Linked DNA regions of Drosophila melanogaster. The protein of the gene in region 1 purifies or fractionates together with the protein of each later gene. This does not show direct contact. Each region holds a gene or a part of one and is shown on either strand. Other genes may lie near its edges. The genes, in order: DIP-gamma and CG1504.

The links.
Region 2: the proteins of DIP-gamma (region 1) and CG1504 purify together in Drosophila melanogaster (affinity purification with western blotting; one large-scale study listed by BioGRID). This does not show direct contact.

What each region holds. Positions count from the first base shown.
Region 1 is NT_033777.3:28,965,493-28,973,881, reverse strand, and holds the start of DIP-gamma (Dpr-interacting protein gamma), read left to right. Parts: upstream 1-3,509; 5' UTR 3,510-4,551; intron 4,552-8,389.
Region 2 is NC_004354.4:20,326,082-20,334,456, reverse strand, and holds the start of CG1504 (uncharacterized protein), read left to right. Parts: upstream 1-4,084; 5' UTR 4,085-4,339; intron 4,340-4,914; exon of another isoform or gene 4,915-5,294; intron 5,295-5,776; exon of another isoform or gene 5,777-6,242; coding exon of another isoform or gene 6,243-6,679; intron 6,680-6,738; coding exon of another isoform or gene 6,739-6,853; exon of another isoform or gene 6,854-7,013; intron 7,014-8,375. Other genes in the region: CG1631 (uncharacterized protein), read right to left, coding at 6,243-6,679, 6,739-6,853.

The DNA.
Region 1 (8,389 bases):
GGCCAGCCAAGGGAAATCGCAGAGCGGATTGCCGTGAGCTCAGCCAAGGGTTAAGTGTATTAGAGTTGTCTCTGTTTGCCGTTCTGCTTCCTCTATATTCCCCTTGTTTTCCTCCATTTTCTCCTGTTTTTCCCTGTGTGTCCGGGCACTCATATAGCCATAATGCCAGAAATACTTATTCCCCGATATGCAACAAACAAGCAACAAACAAGCGGCAACAATGGCAGAAAAGCTAAGCCAAGGCCAGAACAAAAAGTGGTAAACAAGTGGAAAGCGGTGGAAAGTGCTGCCAGGTGCAGTTGCAGTTGCACTTTCAGTTGCAATTGCTGTTGCAGTTGCAGTTGGAGCTACAACCGCAGTCAAAGGGCTCAAAGGACAAAAAGGGGAAATAGGCACGAAAATAGCAGGAAAAAAAAAAACAGAAAAAAGCTGAAAAAGAGCCTAAGAAGTAGACTTGAAACAGTTCTCCCTTTGCGGTGTCATTTGCAATTATGTGGCCAGGCCATGCATGGCAGTTTGATGAGCTCCCAGCTGGAGAAGACTTTAACTGCAGCCAATGTGCATTAACTGGGAGATAAAAGACTTTCTATGTATCCAAGAATCCCCGCAAGCCTTTGGACCGGCTAATGGAAAAGTGCATTGGAGGATTGGACTTGCTACTGATTCATTAGACGATTACTCGATTACTGGCAACGGACTCCAATATTTATTAAAGCCAGCCCCGGAGTGTGACTGCAAAATTAACTCAATTTCCACTTCCTTTGTTCTGGAGTTTTTGTGAAACTGAGATGATTTTCACTTCGGCATTTTTCCATTTGGCCAAGACAAACACGACACGAAATAGTAGGGAAAAGCAGCCAGAAATATGAGAAATATGAAAATTGAGAATGCAAACACAATTTGAATGCTCGAAGCAAGAGCGAATCGAGCTGAAAATTGATGAATTTTCATCTACAATGCTGAGACTAGAAGGCAAAGGCAAAAGCAGCTCCCACTCTGCAGGCTGGTGAATTTAATTAGTTAAGGATGGGCATAAACAAAAATTCAATTCCCCGGATATCCCCAAGAAATCGGTGCTCGACAGCAAATTAATTATACGCCACTTGTATTTAATTAGTTTATTGAATGGCCAGCCAGCACTTTGCAATCAATTCGAATATTTTCATGTGGCTGCAGATGCAGCTGCGATAAATGTGGCAGTCAACACTTCAGACTTGAATTTGTCGGACTTGGGTCGGCACCCGTTTCCTTGCTTCGCTCTTCGGTCCTTCTAACAAGCTCCCGAATCTGATTCTGGTTGTGATTCTGATTTTGTTCCTGGTCTGCTCTGGTCCTGGTCCTGGCCATTCAAACGTGCAATCTGAAATCGAAAAATCAAAACCCAAAACAAATTCAATGTCCCGAACGTGTGTCTGTCCGTGTCCGTGTCCTTTGCTCCGTCTGTGTGGGCTTGGGATGGGGCCACTCAGCAGGAGCAGTGGCAGGATAACGAATGGAGCCAGGCACAATGGGTAGAAAAGTGCAGTTTGCGGTTGAAAACCGGATATTTTCTTTTCGCCCTCGCTGGCAGGTGAACGCAGCAGCAGCAACAGAAGCAGCAGCCTGACAAAAACAGCTCGAAGGACGAACGGCTGCAGACGAAGACATGGCTCTCAGGATCAGACGGAAGCCGTTTGAGGCGAGGAAATGGAGAATAGTTCTTTTGGCCCGGCCTAAGCATTAGCACAGCACCAGATCAGCCAGATACCCCAGTAACCAGTGTGCAGTAACCAGATACCCAGATGCCCAGATACACAGATACTCAGATACGAGCATAAACGTTATTAATTAACATTCTGCCTGGCTGTCCCTAACAGATCCCGCCTAGATTTGTCCTGCAAAAGTTAATTGAATATCAAGCTAAAAGCGGCTGAAGAAGATCAGGAAAATCAGTGAAAACCCAGCTGAATGCGATGAGATTATTAAACGTCCCATCCGCTTTTCCCTCTTTGCAGTAACGAAGAGCTAACGACATAAACATCAACCGGCAGCCAATTAATGACAGCGAGCTACAGCGTTTATCGTTTCACTTACAAGCCAATACAGCGGAAAAACCCCTACATTTTCCACCCATACCATCGCCCTGTTAGCCACCTGTGAGTGTGGCCCAAAGGGCAGACAATGAAAATCAACTAAGCAATTGGCAACTAAACGAGACACCAGGATCCAGCTCTCCAAGCCGCTGCAGCAACAAAATGGGCCAAGAAAGCGCAGCTGGCTACTGTTTCCAATTAGTTGGCCATGACTGTGGCAAAAGTGTTGGGAAAACGGAGAGGGTGAGAGGAGTGCCGAGGCACACATGCACTGGCTGCAAAATGAAAATGAGAAACTGAAGAAAACAGAGAAATGGAAACTGAATTATTGCTCAGGACGAAACAGAAGTGGGGGGAAAATAAGGGGCCACGGCGCTTGACTCTAACATAAATGTAATGCTTTTATTAGTTATCGATACCAACACATACATACCCCTGGGTGTAAGCTAGTACACTGAGCAAAATGTCCAAGTTTTTACAAAATACAATTTTTTTTATAGGAATAATGATGAACGCTATTATTAAAAGAATATTTTCAAATAAAATGAATGTAATATTTAAACTGAAATACCTTGCATATGAGATAATAAATGAAATGCCTTTTTTAGTAAAAAATTTTAAATAAAGGTTTTCATATAAATTTGTATACTTTTACATTGTTTTTTCAAAGTTCCTTCATGTGTAAGAGCAAGAAAGATATGAAAAGAGTATAAGCGTGTCCCGCGAGGGGTGGTGATCTAAGGGGGCGGGATTGCGACTCCGGGGAAGACAGCGCTGGTATCCGGCGCCAAAGATTTACCAAACATCCGCTGGAAAATACCCCACTACGATTGCGACTGTGACTCCGGCAGCTGTTGTTGTTAGCCAAGTTCGTTGTTGGCAAACGCGATTGCAGCAAATCAGAAAATACTCGCACAAGTGCGAATGTGAATATTGATGCCACGGCGTAGGTATGTTTGACTTATAATATATGTATAGACATACATATGTGTGTGTGTATGGAGCTGAATGTGTGTTTAGTTGGCATTGCAAAACACAAACACAAAACTTCCATTCTGGTCGTGCTCCGCGAGTCGACTTTAGCCAGCCACTTGGCGCTACTTCGCCCACTTCAGCGCCACTCCACCCACTCAGCGCGCCCATCCACACACACACACAGAGGCACACCCACACACACACACACACACACACCCAGACATGGCCACAGAGCGCTCCTTGCTCGCTTACTTGCTACTTCCGCTTCCGAATCCGTTTTGTGTGCTGTCGCCGCAGAAATTTAACGAAGTCACACGTCGCCAATGCCAGTTCCTCTCGCTCTCTCGCCAAAAAAGCTCTGCGAGCCAGCATCCGAAGCATCCGCGTCATCGTGCCGCTCGTCGGCATCCTTCGTGCGTCCAGCCGTTTCGGCTCCAGATGGCAGCATCCTTTTTCATGCTGGCTCAGTTGCGAATTCAGTTTCGGAGCGTTCGGTGGTGGAGAGCAGCTGCATTTGTGCATTTCGCATCGAACATTCATCGTGATCCCAAGCGCACGAAGTTGTTGTTTTGTTTTGGTTTTTGTCGCCAAATTTCGCGGGATTTTTTCGTGAACGTGTGTGTGCGCGTGCATTTATTTCGCACACTGTCGACGGGGCAATACCAGGATCTGTCGCCTGTCTTCGCCTCAGACTTCTCCTCCGGATCCTGCGGAGCGGAGCGTACGTATTTGTGGCTTCAACTCCGTGTGTCGTATGTGCCCGTGTATGCCTCTGTGTGTCTGTGTGTGTGGCGTACCGGCATACCGTCTTTGTTGTTGGCCACCATTGTAATTGCAGTCAGTGTGGCACTGGCAACGCGGCGTATACTTGACATCTTCGCCGCCAAATTGTGCGATTTCTTCGACTCGTTCAGCTCTCGCGCTGGCTCCTTGAATGCGGCTCCTTGTGACATTGGCGTGAAGACGTGAAGAGCCCTCAAAATCCGCTATTCCACTGTGTTCGCAATCCATTTGCCTGCTGCCCTGGACGGGCAAACAAATTTTTGCAATTCAATTTCTATTGTGCATTGCCGATGCGAAATGTGCGCATCGTTTGCTGTCAATGCCAAGTATTCCGCATAAAAATTGAAAATTGCATGCAAATTAAATAAATAGAGTTCCGGTGAGGAGCTGAGCTGAGCTGCGAGTACCAGCTGAGATAGACACTCAAGAACCCATCCTATTCTACATACTCATCGCACATACGTACATATGCGAGTATCCTTGCGAAAATGACAGTTGTGAGTTGTGGCTCAGATTTGGATTCGCATGCGGGGCGCAATCAAAGCAAACGTCATTAGCACTCGCGACATCGCCTTCGATTGACAGCGGGAGTTGGAGCAGCGGCAGGAGCAGAAGGAGGTGCCAGATCCTGCGGCAGGATTCAGCAGCCAGGAGCAGGCACGAACAACTTTACATTTGCATAACTTCGGTGCAGCTCCAGCGTTCAGATTCCGATTCACAGGTACGAGAAAAACTCCTTACCAAAGTCGATTTCCGTTTCAGCAACCCCTTCAGACCGCCCGCCCGCACCGCATCGCTTTGCAACTTTGCTATCATTTCTATTTTCCTGTTTCTGTTTTTCATACCCGATATCTGTATCCCCACCAACATTTTGCGCCCAGCGCCCAGAAAGGGTAAAATCGGAGAATATTCAGCTCGTGCCATGGAGTTGGGCTGTGGCAAATCCATTGTGGTGCACTCCCGAGGTGGCTTGGATTCGCGAGCTCAGGGCCGTGGATTTACCTTTTGGGTGGTCCTGGGAGGTTCTGGCTGGTCCTGATGGCGATTAAGGAACAAACTCAGTTCGCTTAGCAGCATTTAAGCCCTCTCAGTTTTTTAGGTCAGCTCAGTCGCTCTTGATTTAATGATCCAATAAGGAGCTTCTAGGATGTTCAAATTGAAACCTGTTGGAGTGAATCAAGTTTATCCGGGGCAGCAATTAGAATGATATCCTAATGTCATTTCGAATGGTCGGGAAATGCTTTTAACATTTTTTTAAGCAATTGCAAAATGTAATATTCATAAGGTACTTGGAGTACTAATTAAGTACCAATTAATTGAAAATTGCAAAATAAAAATGGCACCAATGTTTAAATCCAACTATATCTTATAACAATTTTAGTTAGGCAAAAGAAGTTTGCTTTAAAAATTAAAATTTAACGATATTTTAAGACCTGAAGACAAGAACTTTCGCACAGCTGAAAAACTCAGTTTAATGACACTGCCAAATAAAACTACTAGTCATTTCCAGAAAGTCTTGTTAGCATTTGATGTAAATTGCAAGGAATAGTTTTAATTCTTGACCCGATTTCGGAAAAAATCGTTGGTTGCTTTACTAGTTTGGTAACTCTGTAGTAGTAGTATTTTTTCAATAATTTTCTATAATTTATTTTACACACTATCACTAAAATGAGGGCACCTGCGCGTCCAGAGCTCGTGACAATAGCATCTCCGATTTGTTTTAGCTTTGCCAGCTCTGCTCTTTGGTTTAGTATCAACTTTACGGCTGTTTCAGCTCCGGATTTCTTGCCCACTCCACTTCGGCTCCATCATGGCCACGTTATCCAACTTTTAGTTATGGCTTTCGCTTTTCGCATAATGTCAGTTTTATTTGGTTTTGGTTTTCACTGACGGGGCGTGCGCGCACTGGGTGGCAGTGGGTCTGCCCAGGAGGAGCAGGGACGTAGAGAATGGAGGCCAAAGTCCCGTCTCAGATCCATGCCAATGCCCAGGATTCAGGATCCAGGACTCAGGACCTGAGGCCTCCGGCCCCTTGCCCGGCCATTCGGCACCCTTGCAAGATTTATTGTGCCTCATACACTCGTACACACGTACACATAACACCTTCTGCCGGGGACCTTCGTCCTCCGTCCTCCCTGGATCCCTTTTGGGTCCTTCTCAGCCGCGCCTTGGGTTTCACATTCAGCTCCATCTCGTTCTTCATACATCTGCAGTCCCATAATCTCTACTATTTGCATCGCAGACTTTGCTTTGGATTTTCCTATGGCAATGGATTTAGTTATGGTTTTTCTTACTCTCCGGCTTTCCGCTTCCAGCCCTGCCATCGCCCAACGCCCCTCTCTCTTCCTCCTGCTGTCCATCCGTCTCCTCTCCGGTTGCGCTTTTTTACTTCACACACACACACACACACACACTTATACAGATTTTCCCGGCAGTCGGACGTTTGTTTTTCCTCTGCCGTTCCGCACACACACTGAGCAAAAAAGGTTTGCCTAGTTATGGCTCAGAAAGAGAGAGGTAATAGTTGAGTTGTCTGGGGCAGGGGTAGCAAGAAGAAGGACGAAAGTCCTGCGGCAAACCGCAGCAAGCGTCCCAGTTGTTGGCCAAGGGCGTCCAGGAATGCGTCTAATGAATAACCATCGTAATCCATGCTGAAGCCGAGGCGATATGGAAATATGTAAGACAGATTAGCTGATTGTTAGTCCGCGATGGGAATGCTATGTAGGGGGGGGGGGTTTCTTTACTCGCTTCAGTTTTGATAAGTTATTTTAATTGATTAGTATTTCACCTCGGAAGTATTTACTTAAATTTCATTACGTGCAGCTGCCGTTTGCTAAAATCACTTGAGCTTAAATTTCATTGCGCTTGCACAATACGATTTGTGAATGTGAGCTTTAAAATGCCTTTGGGCTGCCATTTATCAACGATTTATTGTCGACTTAATAAATTAATTTGGTTCAAGGCTGGGAGGAAAATCTTTCACTTAACCTTGCCAGCATCCGAATTCCAATAATTTCCCAATCCCCAATCCTTTGTTATCGGATCCCCGCACTTTAAATTCCCAGTGACTCCCACTTTTCAGGCTAATGAAATTTGTGGAATTTATTCCTTACTTCTGACTTCATTATCATGTGAGTGCACACAAATGTATGTATAGTATAGTATGCGCCAGGGCAATCCATAAAATTTGATCCCTGATCCATTCATTCCCGACTCGCACGCATGCCACCGTGGCCTTTACGTTCTGCGAATCCTATCGCAACCCATCACTGAAATGGCCACCGCAATAGCTCCTTCAGTCCTCCTCCAGGCTTCTTCATTTTTGCCCGGTGTAGTCGTAACTCGTTCGCTCAGATTTGGGGCTCCTTGAGGAAGCCTCGCACATGCGAAAGCTCACACACACACACTCTCTCGCACGCGGGTTGGGGGAGGACTAACAGGATATCCCATAAAACGGAAATGGCATTATCCTCGCACATATTGTTGTGCGGATTTTAGTTTTTATTACACCAAGCAGAGCGCGGCTTCTGGCCGTGAGAAGCCTCACGGGCTCCTCCGCCGAAGCCCAAGGAGCTGGAGAAGCTGAAGATGGAGCTGGTGAAGGAGCAACTGCGGCAGCATAAATATCATTTGTGTCTGTTTGTGTGATACATCAAGTAGTGACCCATTAGCCCCCTCGCAACACCTGAAACCGCACCCACTTACCGCTCACCTGGCGGTTGCAATTTATGGCCGGACCCCTGAAAACTCCACACACTCCTGTGGAGAATCTTCTGCCAAGGGGGGTGGCTCTACGCTAATAGGGTTCCAAGCCATTGTTTTTGGATGCGACGAGCTGTGGATGGTGGGGTCACGAAAAGGAGGCGGAGAAGGAGCAAGGATCTGATCGCTTTCTACATTGCGGGCAAGATTTATAATACCGCTGGCCAAAAACAACAAAAGCGTCAAATGGCCACAGGAAATTCTGCCCCTACACTACAATAAAATAATCTTCTTAATGCAAGACTCTCGTGTATTTGCAGTTCACATAAGTAGGTTGCAGGAAGAATGTTGTACTCTGTTTTTGAATACCACTTTGAAAGATGCAACAACAAACTACTACTTCTTTACACTCTTTGTACATTTACATGCACTTCAGTTCAGTACAATAGTACTAAAGCGTACTCCAAACTATTTTATAATTTTGTTAGTTCAACATGCCTAATAATAATTGAAGTGTCGAATGCATAGTTAAGATGGATTGTGGACTCTTGTGGGCTTTTGCAAATGCTCAGATAAGTTTTTGTGGATTGCAAAACTACTTTTGACCACTGCGCATCGGTTTTGCTCGCAAGTTGAACGAGTTGCACTAATCTTCTTTTTTTTTGGTAATTTTTCCTAAGTGTTTTCCCCGACCCCAGGACTCCTCGGCCAGGTCCATCGCTCAAACAAAAACCGAAACCCCAAGCAAAGCAAGGCAAAGCAAAGCAACCTAAACAAACACTTGAGGTGTGTAAAGTTAGCCAAGGCTGCGTTTTTGCTTGGCTTCGTTTTTGGCCCACATTATGTGTGTGCGGTGC
Region 2 (8,375 bases), on another chromosome or scaffold:
CGAAGCGAAGTGCATTGTGGACTTGTAGCCCCGGTCTCTGGGGCCTCGGTGGCTCCTCTTCCCGGCAGTCCCAATCTCCACAAGCGGGCTTCCCAAAGTGGTTTAAGGCTTCTTCTTTCGGCTCTTGTGTGGCCTCTGGGTCGGCCTTTAATTTTAAGACCCAAATAGCGAAATAACATGAAAGTCCACCCCACGAACGGAACGGAATGGAAACAATGCTCGAAATTATTATGCCCCAGCGCGACACCTCGGCCTCCTGCCGCACGAGATGCGACTCCTCTTTAACTGCAGTGGGGATGAGTCGTCGAACTTTCGGCCCCAGTCAGACAATGATTCCTAATTCCAAATGATGGTCACGGGCAAGAAAGAAGAGACGGTTGGCTGTCTCGCAACGCACCAGACCAAGTTCCCTGGGCTAATTGAACCCACTGAGTCACCGCAACTCGGTGAGGGTATGCAGTCTTTGACTTGGTCGTGGAGTTTCGGTTTCGGTTTTCGGTGCTCCATTCCCCATGCTTGGTGCTCTATGCTGGCCTTCTTTCTTTTTGGCTGCTTGTCTTCTTTGCTGGCTGGCTGGCTGGCATTCCATTTCAATTTGTTGCAGTTACTTTAAACAATTACCAAGGCACACGAACAGCTGCAACGAAGCTGGGGAAAGAATAAAGCAATGGCTGAGAATGGGTGACCCGAGTGGTGACCCAAACAGGTCGAGTTATTTTTTTGTTTTTTTTTTGTTCTTTTGAAACTGCCCCAACACAATTTAATGATGAAGAGGACCAGAGCTGTTTGTGTGTGTGTGTAAATCGGTAAATTTTATGCGACAAATGAGGAAAAAATGAAATTTGTGCTTTCCGAAAATGATGGGGAAAGCTGCGCTCTGTGGTCGGAACTCGGGCTTGATGATTTGATGAGGCGCCTTTCCACACATCCACATCCACATCCAGATATCCTATAACCAATCCCGACCCCCTTTCGACTCCTTTTCTACGTAAATGTGGAATACAAATTGCACTCATTTTAGTTTCTCACGTTTGTTGCATGTTGTACATGACTGCAACGCGCACGCACACAAATTGACACACACTCACAGACACACGTGCCACATTCACATCCACATGCCCCGAAAGGAGGTAGGCCTCGACCTCTGCTTAGTTTTGGAGCACCCCGCTCCCCGCTCCACGCTCCCCGCTCCCATCTTCCATTGCCCATCGTCATCTCCCATCCATTCTCGATGCCAGGACTCCCAGTCGCCCCTGCCTACAGCTTCGCCTGCTGCTCTGTTTTCCTGTCGCTTCATCGGCATGCGACAAACGGAAATGTTGCTTTTATGCTTTAAATATGGCAACTTTGTGGTGTCGACAGACACACTCTCACACTCGCACAGTGGCTTATAGATACTCTGACGCACACTAGGAAGCACTGGAATAAAGGCACTCGTCATTGGGGCATATGATAATTAGTCTCTAAATTCTTCATTGTATTTCTTATTGATTACATTGTTTATTTTTATATGGTGGCTAAAGATTACCTATGACAAACTCTCAAACACCTGGGCTCACTCTAAGCATATGCGTTTTTTTCGAGTGCATTGACAGTCGTGTCGATTGCAAGTCTTGCCTGGTGGCCCCTTATCCACAGGCTTGCTGGGTTTGCTGCCTATGCATCAGCATCAGCCCCATCCTCGGCAACGAGGACCTGCAGCCTTCGATTTTCGTCCTGCCCTCCTCTTTGTGTGTGACTATATCGCAACGGGTGTGAGCGAGTAGTGTTTGAGCGATCGACCATGAAGCCTTCATTATTGCATTTCATGATTTTGCGGTTCTTTATGCTCGTTCCTTTACACTAGGCGGCGACACAAACAGGGAAGCTTCTGCGGGAAAGCCGATGGGGCTGTGGGCGTGGCTGGGGCAGGACACTGGACGAGAAGCGTCTGCCATGTGCCATTTGCCATGTGTTTGGCCTGGCCGGGACTGGTGTCGACACTTTCACAACATCCACACTTCCACATCCTCATCGACAGCAACAAAGACATCGCAGTCAGGGCCAGGATATGGCATATGGCTTTGCCCCGCGTCCTGCATTCACTTCCATCTCGAGAATCGACTGAGCGGACTCGTGTCCGTGTCCCTCATTCAAATTTTCAATATTTTCCATGTGTGCTGCCGGTCGTTATCACGCATTTCCTGCCATTTGCAACCTCCACATCCACATCTACATCTACATCTGCATCTACATATCCATTGCCATTGGCATTGGATTGGTAACGGGAATTGCAGCCGCAAGACACTGGCTACGTGGCCAGCAACCGACTTGACCAATTTGCCGCCCCTGCGGTTCCGGGTTGAGCGCATTAGGCCGCACACTGGGCCGCTGGTCCTGGCTCCTCGCTGGGAATTTCCACTCCGCATAAATGCAAAACCGATCTTGAGGGCACCCCAAACCGAATCGAAGTACAATGGCATGTCAGTTGGGGCAGCATATGGGGCATATATGCCACGTATGACACGGGCTGAAGGTTAGGGGGTCAGCAGTTCAATCAGTGGCACGACGCAGGATACTTACCACACATGTGGACTCATTTCCATATGTGTGCGATACCACTTTCACAGATTAAAATATGATTAGAGTTGGGGTAAGGGTTAATAACCTTCTGAGGAAGAAATATATTTGCCTAACATTCCATTTAGACAAAAACAAACTTGAAATTAATTAATTATCTATCAAAATAGAATCAATTCTTCGGCACAAGACTGCGTATCTACCCATCTCCTTCTACATATCATAGCTTGAAAATTTCAAAGCTATCAATCACATTTGATTTTCAAGCTGACAAATTCCATCTCAAACATAGAATTATTCCTATATAATGCTGGTACAAATGGTAGTACAAACGAGTGCGCATTTCAAATATAGTATAGTATAGTTCTATCTATATATATATATAGATAGTATGTTCAACTATCAAGCTCTAAATTTAACATTTCCTTCAGCTTACATTTCGGAAAGCTTTATGTATAACAAAATGATATCAATCTAACTTTTAAAGTATGATACAACTGCCGAACTTTAGTTCAAGACAAGTAAGAATTTGTATAGCTACTCAATGAACCTTGAATTGAAATAGCCAATAATGCCTTAGGTGATCTCGATAACACTACTGAACATATACTGATTTCACAAACTCATCGCGCACGCCTTCGCAGTACCAATACCCTGCTGATGATCAGTGACAACTGGCTTCCTATCTGACTGACCCCGCCATAATCCTAGTGGCCATATCCGCTGGGGAGCAACAGCATCGCATTCGGCTGTTAATGCCACTGATTGCTAATAAATTGAAAACCATTTCAGCACAGACACGACCCGAAGGCAATAGGTGGCAGAGGATTTGCACTCGACGCCGGACACACCAGCCATCCTCGCATGGGGATCAGAAGCAGAGCAGAGGCAGAAGCAGGAGCAGGTGGACGGACGGGAATTCGAATCGAATCGCAATCGGAATCGGAGTCGAAGCCCCGTCAATGAATATGCAAAAACAAGGCAAACAGTGAATAAAATCAAAATAAAAACCCATTTATCAACACGCATGGCGTGGTCCAGGATGAGGACGCAGTCTATCCATCGCCGGCGTTGGAGGTGGACAAATGTGAGGCGATTGCTGGTGAAGCCGTTGGCCACGTGTTGGCCAAAAGGGAAAAGGTCACAAAAGCAGGTTAAGCTGCTTTTTTAAATAAAGCGCACAGCACGTTAATGCCCGCTGGCAGGACGAAAAGAGAATCCCGCCAGGACGCGGGGTCTCATCCATAATCCTGTGCCACTTACAGCCGGGCCACATGCGAACCACTCCGCTGGCGACCAACGACTGCGGACCACTGCTCCAGCCGGTTCCAGCCGAACGCCACCGACGTCAAACGATTGCCTGAGCCGAGCGGTCACGAGAGGACAACGAGGCTACTTCGGATACGGACTCGGCTAGCGCCGAGCTACCCGATTGGTGACGCCTTCGGCTTCGGCTGGCAATGCGGACAGTGGCGCCGTAATCCGTTCGCTGGATTTTTTGAATTAGTTGCGTGTGGTAGCTTGTTGACATCAGTACCGGGTACCGGATGCGGATGCGGATACGTGCGTGGCCCGCAAATCTCTCGCCAAATCTCGACAAGTCCTAACTTGACGCGACCCGCAGTTCATAGTTTAGAGTTCAGCTGTTCAGCGGCTGGTGTGTGACATCCCCAACTGACATCTTTTTTGTCATCACTCTGTTCTGTCCAGCTGTGTTTCGGTTTTTTTTTTTTTGTTTTATTGGTCCGGGAAATCACGTGTGTGTTGTTTTGAGTGCGAGGTGAGTGATTTCGTTGGTTTTTGTTTGGCTGGGGCCCCCGCAACAGTTGCCAGTTGCGCTTTAAACTACTCCTCAAACTGAGCCGCAAGCCGAACCATCCAAACCTCCAATCCAAACCAAAGCAAACCCAACCGAGCCCAAACCAAAACCAAACTAAGCCCGGCTGATAACTGGCTAAAACCTGACCTGCGGTCCTCGATTGCCTGCTGTTGGTGGAAGGTGGACGGTGGCGGATGGTCGATGTTGGAAGTTGGATGGTCAACGGTTGTCCGTTCAGCTAGTTTTGTGGTCGCTTTGACGTGGTCGCGGGCAATTTGAAAGCCAACACCGAAACGCCGATTACGATAAGTGCAGTCGAATTGAAAGGAGGCGGAGTGGAAATGGGATGGGAATGCGAATGCGAATGCGAATGGAAATAGGAATCATCATAATCATCAAGAGCAGCAGCAGTAGCAGGAGCAAGCAGGAGCAGACTGCAAACTGCAAAGTGCATATTCGCTTTCCGCCTGATGTTGTATTTCATTTTGCCATTCGCATTCGCATTTCGCTTTCTCATCCTTTGTCGTCCTTTTTAGTTTTAGTTGCCAGCAATTGCCGCTGCCAGTTTGCAATTAAAGACCAGCTCCATTCAAATGGCAAAAGTGAGGGGCTGAGGCGCTGAGGGACTAGCTGAAGGACTAACCGAGGGATAACCGAGGGATAACCGAGGGATAACCGAGGCATAACCAGAGGCAAAATATTAAATACTAAATGCCAGCTGCCAAGGGAAAGGCAGTTGCAGTTCAGCCCGCCTGTTGCCGTCGCCTGTCAGCATTTTGCTAAAGTCACTGTCCCACTCGCAGTCACAGTTGCCATCACCATCGCCATCACCATCGCCATCAGCATCAGCGCCAACACCAGCCCAGTCTCCCTCAGGTGTCCTGAGCGACCATCCAGCCACTTTGAGCGTGAACAGGTGAGTGACAATGTGAAAAGGGATCCTAAAGGGATGCTAGCCTGATCGCACAGGCTGATGCCATGTGGGAGGCCCATTCCCGAAAACAAACTGAGGCAAGAATAAAATAGAAATATAAGTGATCCTATGGGGTTTCCAAGCGATGTCATTTATAAAAATAAACCGACTTTCTTGGTACCTATAACTACTGTTACTATAAATTACGTTTATAAACACTATAAACACGTTTTTCCAAAAATGAGGTCGATTTTCTTTTACCTTTTCTTTAACTAGTATCCTAATTGGGTCAAAACTGAAAGTAATTATAATGCTCAGACGTTTTAAGCATGAATATTTAATTCGAGAAAAATGGCAGCCATCTGCTATAACAATTTTCAAAGCCAATAAAAGCTCATTAAAACTCTTCAAAGATTGTGCTACTTTAAACTGTCATTAGTAGTATAAAAATACATCATAAAAGTTTCAAATAATAAGTAAGGCCTATGGTATCGATCAATTTACTCTATTGTAAACAATTTGACAAATTTATAAAGTTTGTAGTCTTGGGATCAGCAGTGTGTTCCACTCATTATCTGTCGCCATTAACTGCGTCCTGTATACTGCTATCTATGGATGCTGTTGACTCGCACAAAAAGCCAGGATTGTCTGTTCCCTGAGGGAGTCACACTTTTGCCGCTTCGGGACATTTGTACACCTAATGCATAAAACAATGTATGTATGTTAATTTGCGCGAATACATAAATGTTGATATCTGGCTAAAAAAGAAATATACTCGGATAGTACGTTTCTAATTACTCTAAGCCTTATCCTGAAAATTGAGTTTGCTGGTAAGGATCCATCTCATATCTTGCCCTCCATAAATATTAGATCCATGATCATCGAATGTGAATATCTGTAAAAACCAAAAAAAAACCGCCTGCAGAGATGCCGATTCAACCAACCCCAGCCCTACTCAAAAAGCTCCATTTGGAAGATTTTTTCTTCCTCCTTTGACTCGGACTTCTCCTCGCTCTGTTGATCCTTATCCTTTTCTAGCAGGAAGATTGTCTCGCCAACGAACGGATTACTGCCTACCACTTCGACCTCATTCGAATTATCTTCGTCCTCGTCGCTCAGCATGAGCCGGTATGTAGGAAGCCCAAACTCTGAGGATTCTCCAAACATATCGTATTCCCTGGCCTCGTCGATGTCCTCGCCGTCGGACTCTACCTCTGAGCCCTCACTGTCGCCCTCACAGCAGAGGATCTCGTGGGCAAGCAGCGAAATAGTCTCTTCGCAGAAATTCTCCTGCTCCTCCTCCAAGTCGCTGTCTGATTCTGCCGACAGCAGACTGTACATGCTCGTCTGCGGACTGGTGTCGGGATCGGCCACTGTGCAGCTCTCATCTGGATCGGATGTGCGGTTCGCTATTAGTGGAAACACATTTTTCTAGATTGGTAATCACCTTCGCTATCGCTAGTATAGTCGTCGCTGGTTAGCTCACTCTCGCTAGTGGAAATATCCGAAACGTCCGCGTTTATGTTGATCTGGTCTCTGGAATTGGCAGGGTCGCTGGCCATGTTCGATTGTGTCTAATCCCGGCTCCTATATCTGTACGTCCATGTGCTGTATCTCTTAGTTTCAGACTGTCTGACTGTCTGACTGTCTGGCTGTCTCCTGGTGTGATGTGATTCTGATTCTAAACTTGTTTCCATGCGTGCTGGAAATGTTTTGCCCGGCAAATGCTACTGGGATTAGTTTTGGGTTTCGGGGCTTGGACTATAGATTCGAGATGGGTGCAGGAAGCGACACTGCCAGCACGTAATGTCCTGGGCGCTTCCTTCCAGGACGGCGAATTAAATTTTATGCCAACTGCAATGCCCTTAAAGGCGAAGGCAGAGAGAGAGAGAGAGAGAGGTCTTCGAAACGGAAAAGGCCACGGAGACAGGGCCAAGATGGAGCCGTAGTTGGAGACCGGGCTAACTGCGGCATCGTCACAGGCCGCAGGCCGCGCTCCACATGCACACTGGTTGCCGAAAGGACACAGGACTCCCATAGCCGCACACATACACACACATTCGTACGAGAACGCGTACATGAACTGGCTACCGCAGCAAAGTTACATTTGAAATTTTATTTCCATGGCCGGGGCTCAAATGCAACAAATAAAAACGAGCCACGGAGTTGCCTCTGACCCGGTTCCCGGGTTGTACTCCACTTCGCTCCGGAGTCGCTATCATTGTATCACTCTGATCTGGGCCAGGCGACACGCCTCCTCCGCCTTCTCGGGTATCCACACCTCCGTTGCAAGGACATCCGGCGTGGGACTCGACCATAGCGCACCAAGCAAGCCACTTGATAGGGCAGGCACAAATTGCCAGACAACGAACGGCCTTAATGCAATTGATATAAATTGATATAAATTATTATGAGAGTAATTACCATATCGATGGTGCGGGAACATATATAATTTATTTTTTGCTCTTAAAGCGCAACTAATTAATTTCTGTTCATCTACTTCGTTTATTTATTCCTTGCGAATAAAATAATAATGCACAACAAAGTAGTTGCACTAGAATTTCAGTACTTGTATATTGTTCCATCTACCCTAGAAATACTCTTTATGTGTACCTCAAGCTCAATTGCTTAACTGCAATGTAATTCTAGTCCCATTAAGTGTTTTCTACATTTTTTATATTGTATTTAAGAATTTTTCCTGCTTACCTTTTAAACCAATATACCCCAACGGCAAAGTACCGCCTTCAAACTTTCACCCGTTGCCACTTCGCATTTGCCCACTCCACTCGCATTCCCTTGACCCAGGAGCAGGCCAAGCCAGTGCTACGACGAGTAGGACCAGTTCCAAGACCAGGACCAGGACCAGGACCACTTTGGCGAACCACAATTTAATTTCTGTTTTGGTTTCGGTGCAGTTTTTTGCAGCAGCTCAGTAGTTCAGCTGTTTCGCTTTCTTCTGTACACTGCCTTCTGTCTGTTCCGAGGCCTTCCGGTCGTCAGAGGCAGTCGTTTTGCGGTGCGTCTTTGGTTTCGCATTGTGTCGCCTAAAATTCCCAGGCCCGGCTCTGAAGTCCAATTGCAGTT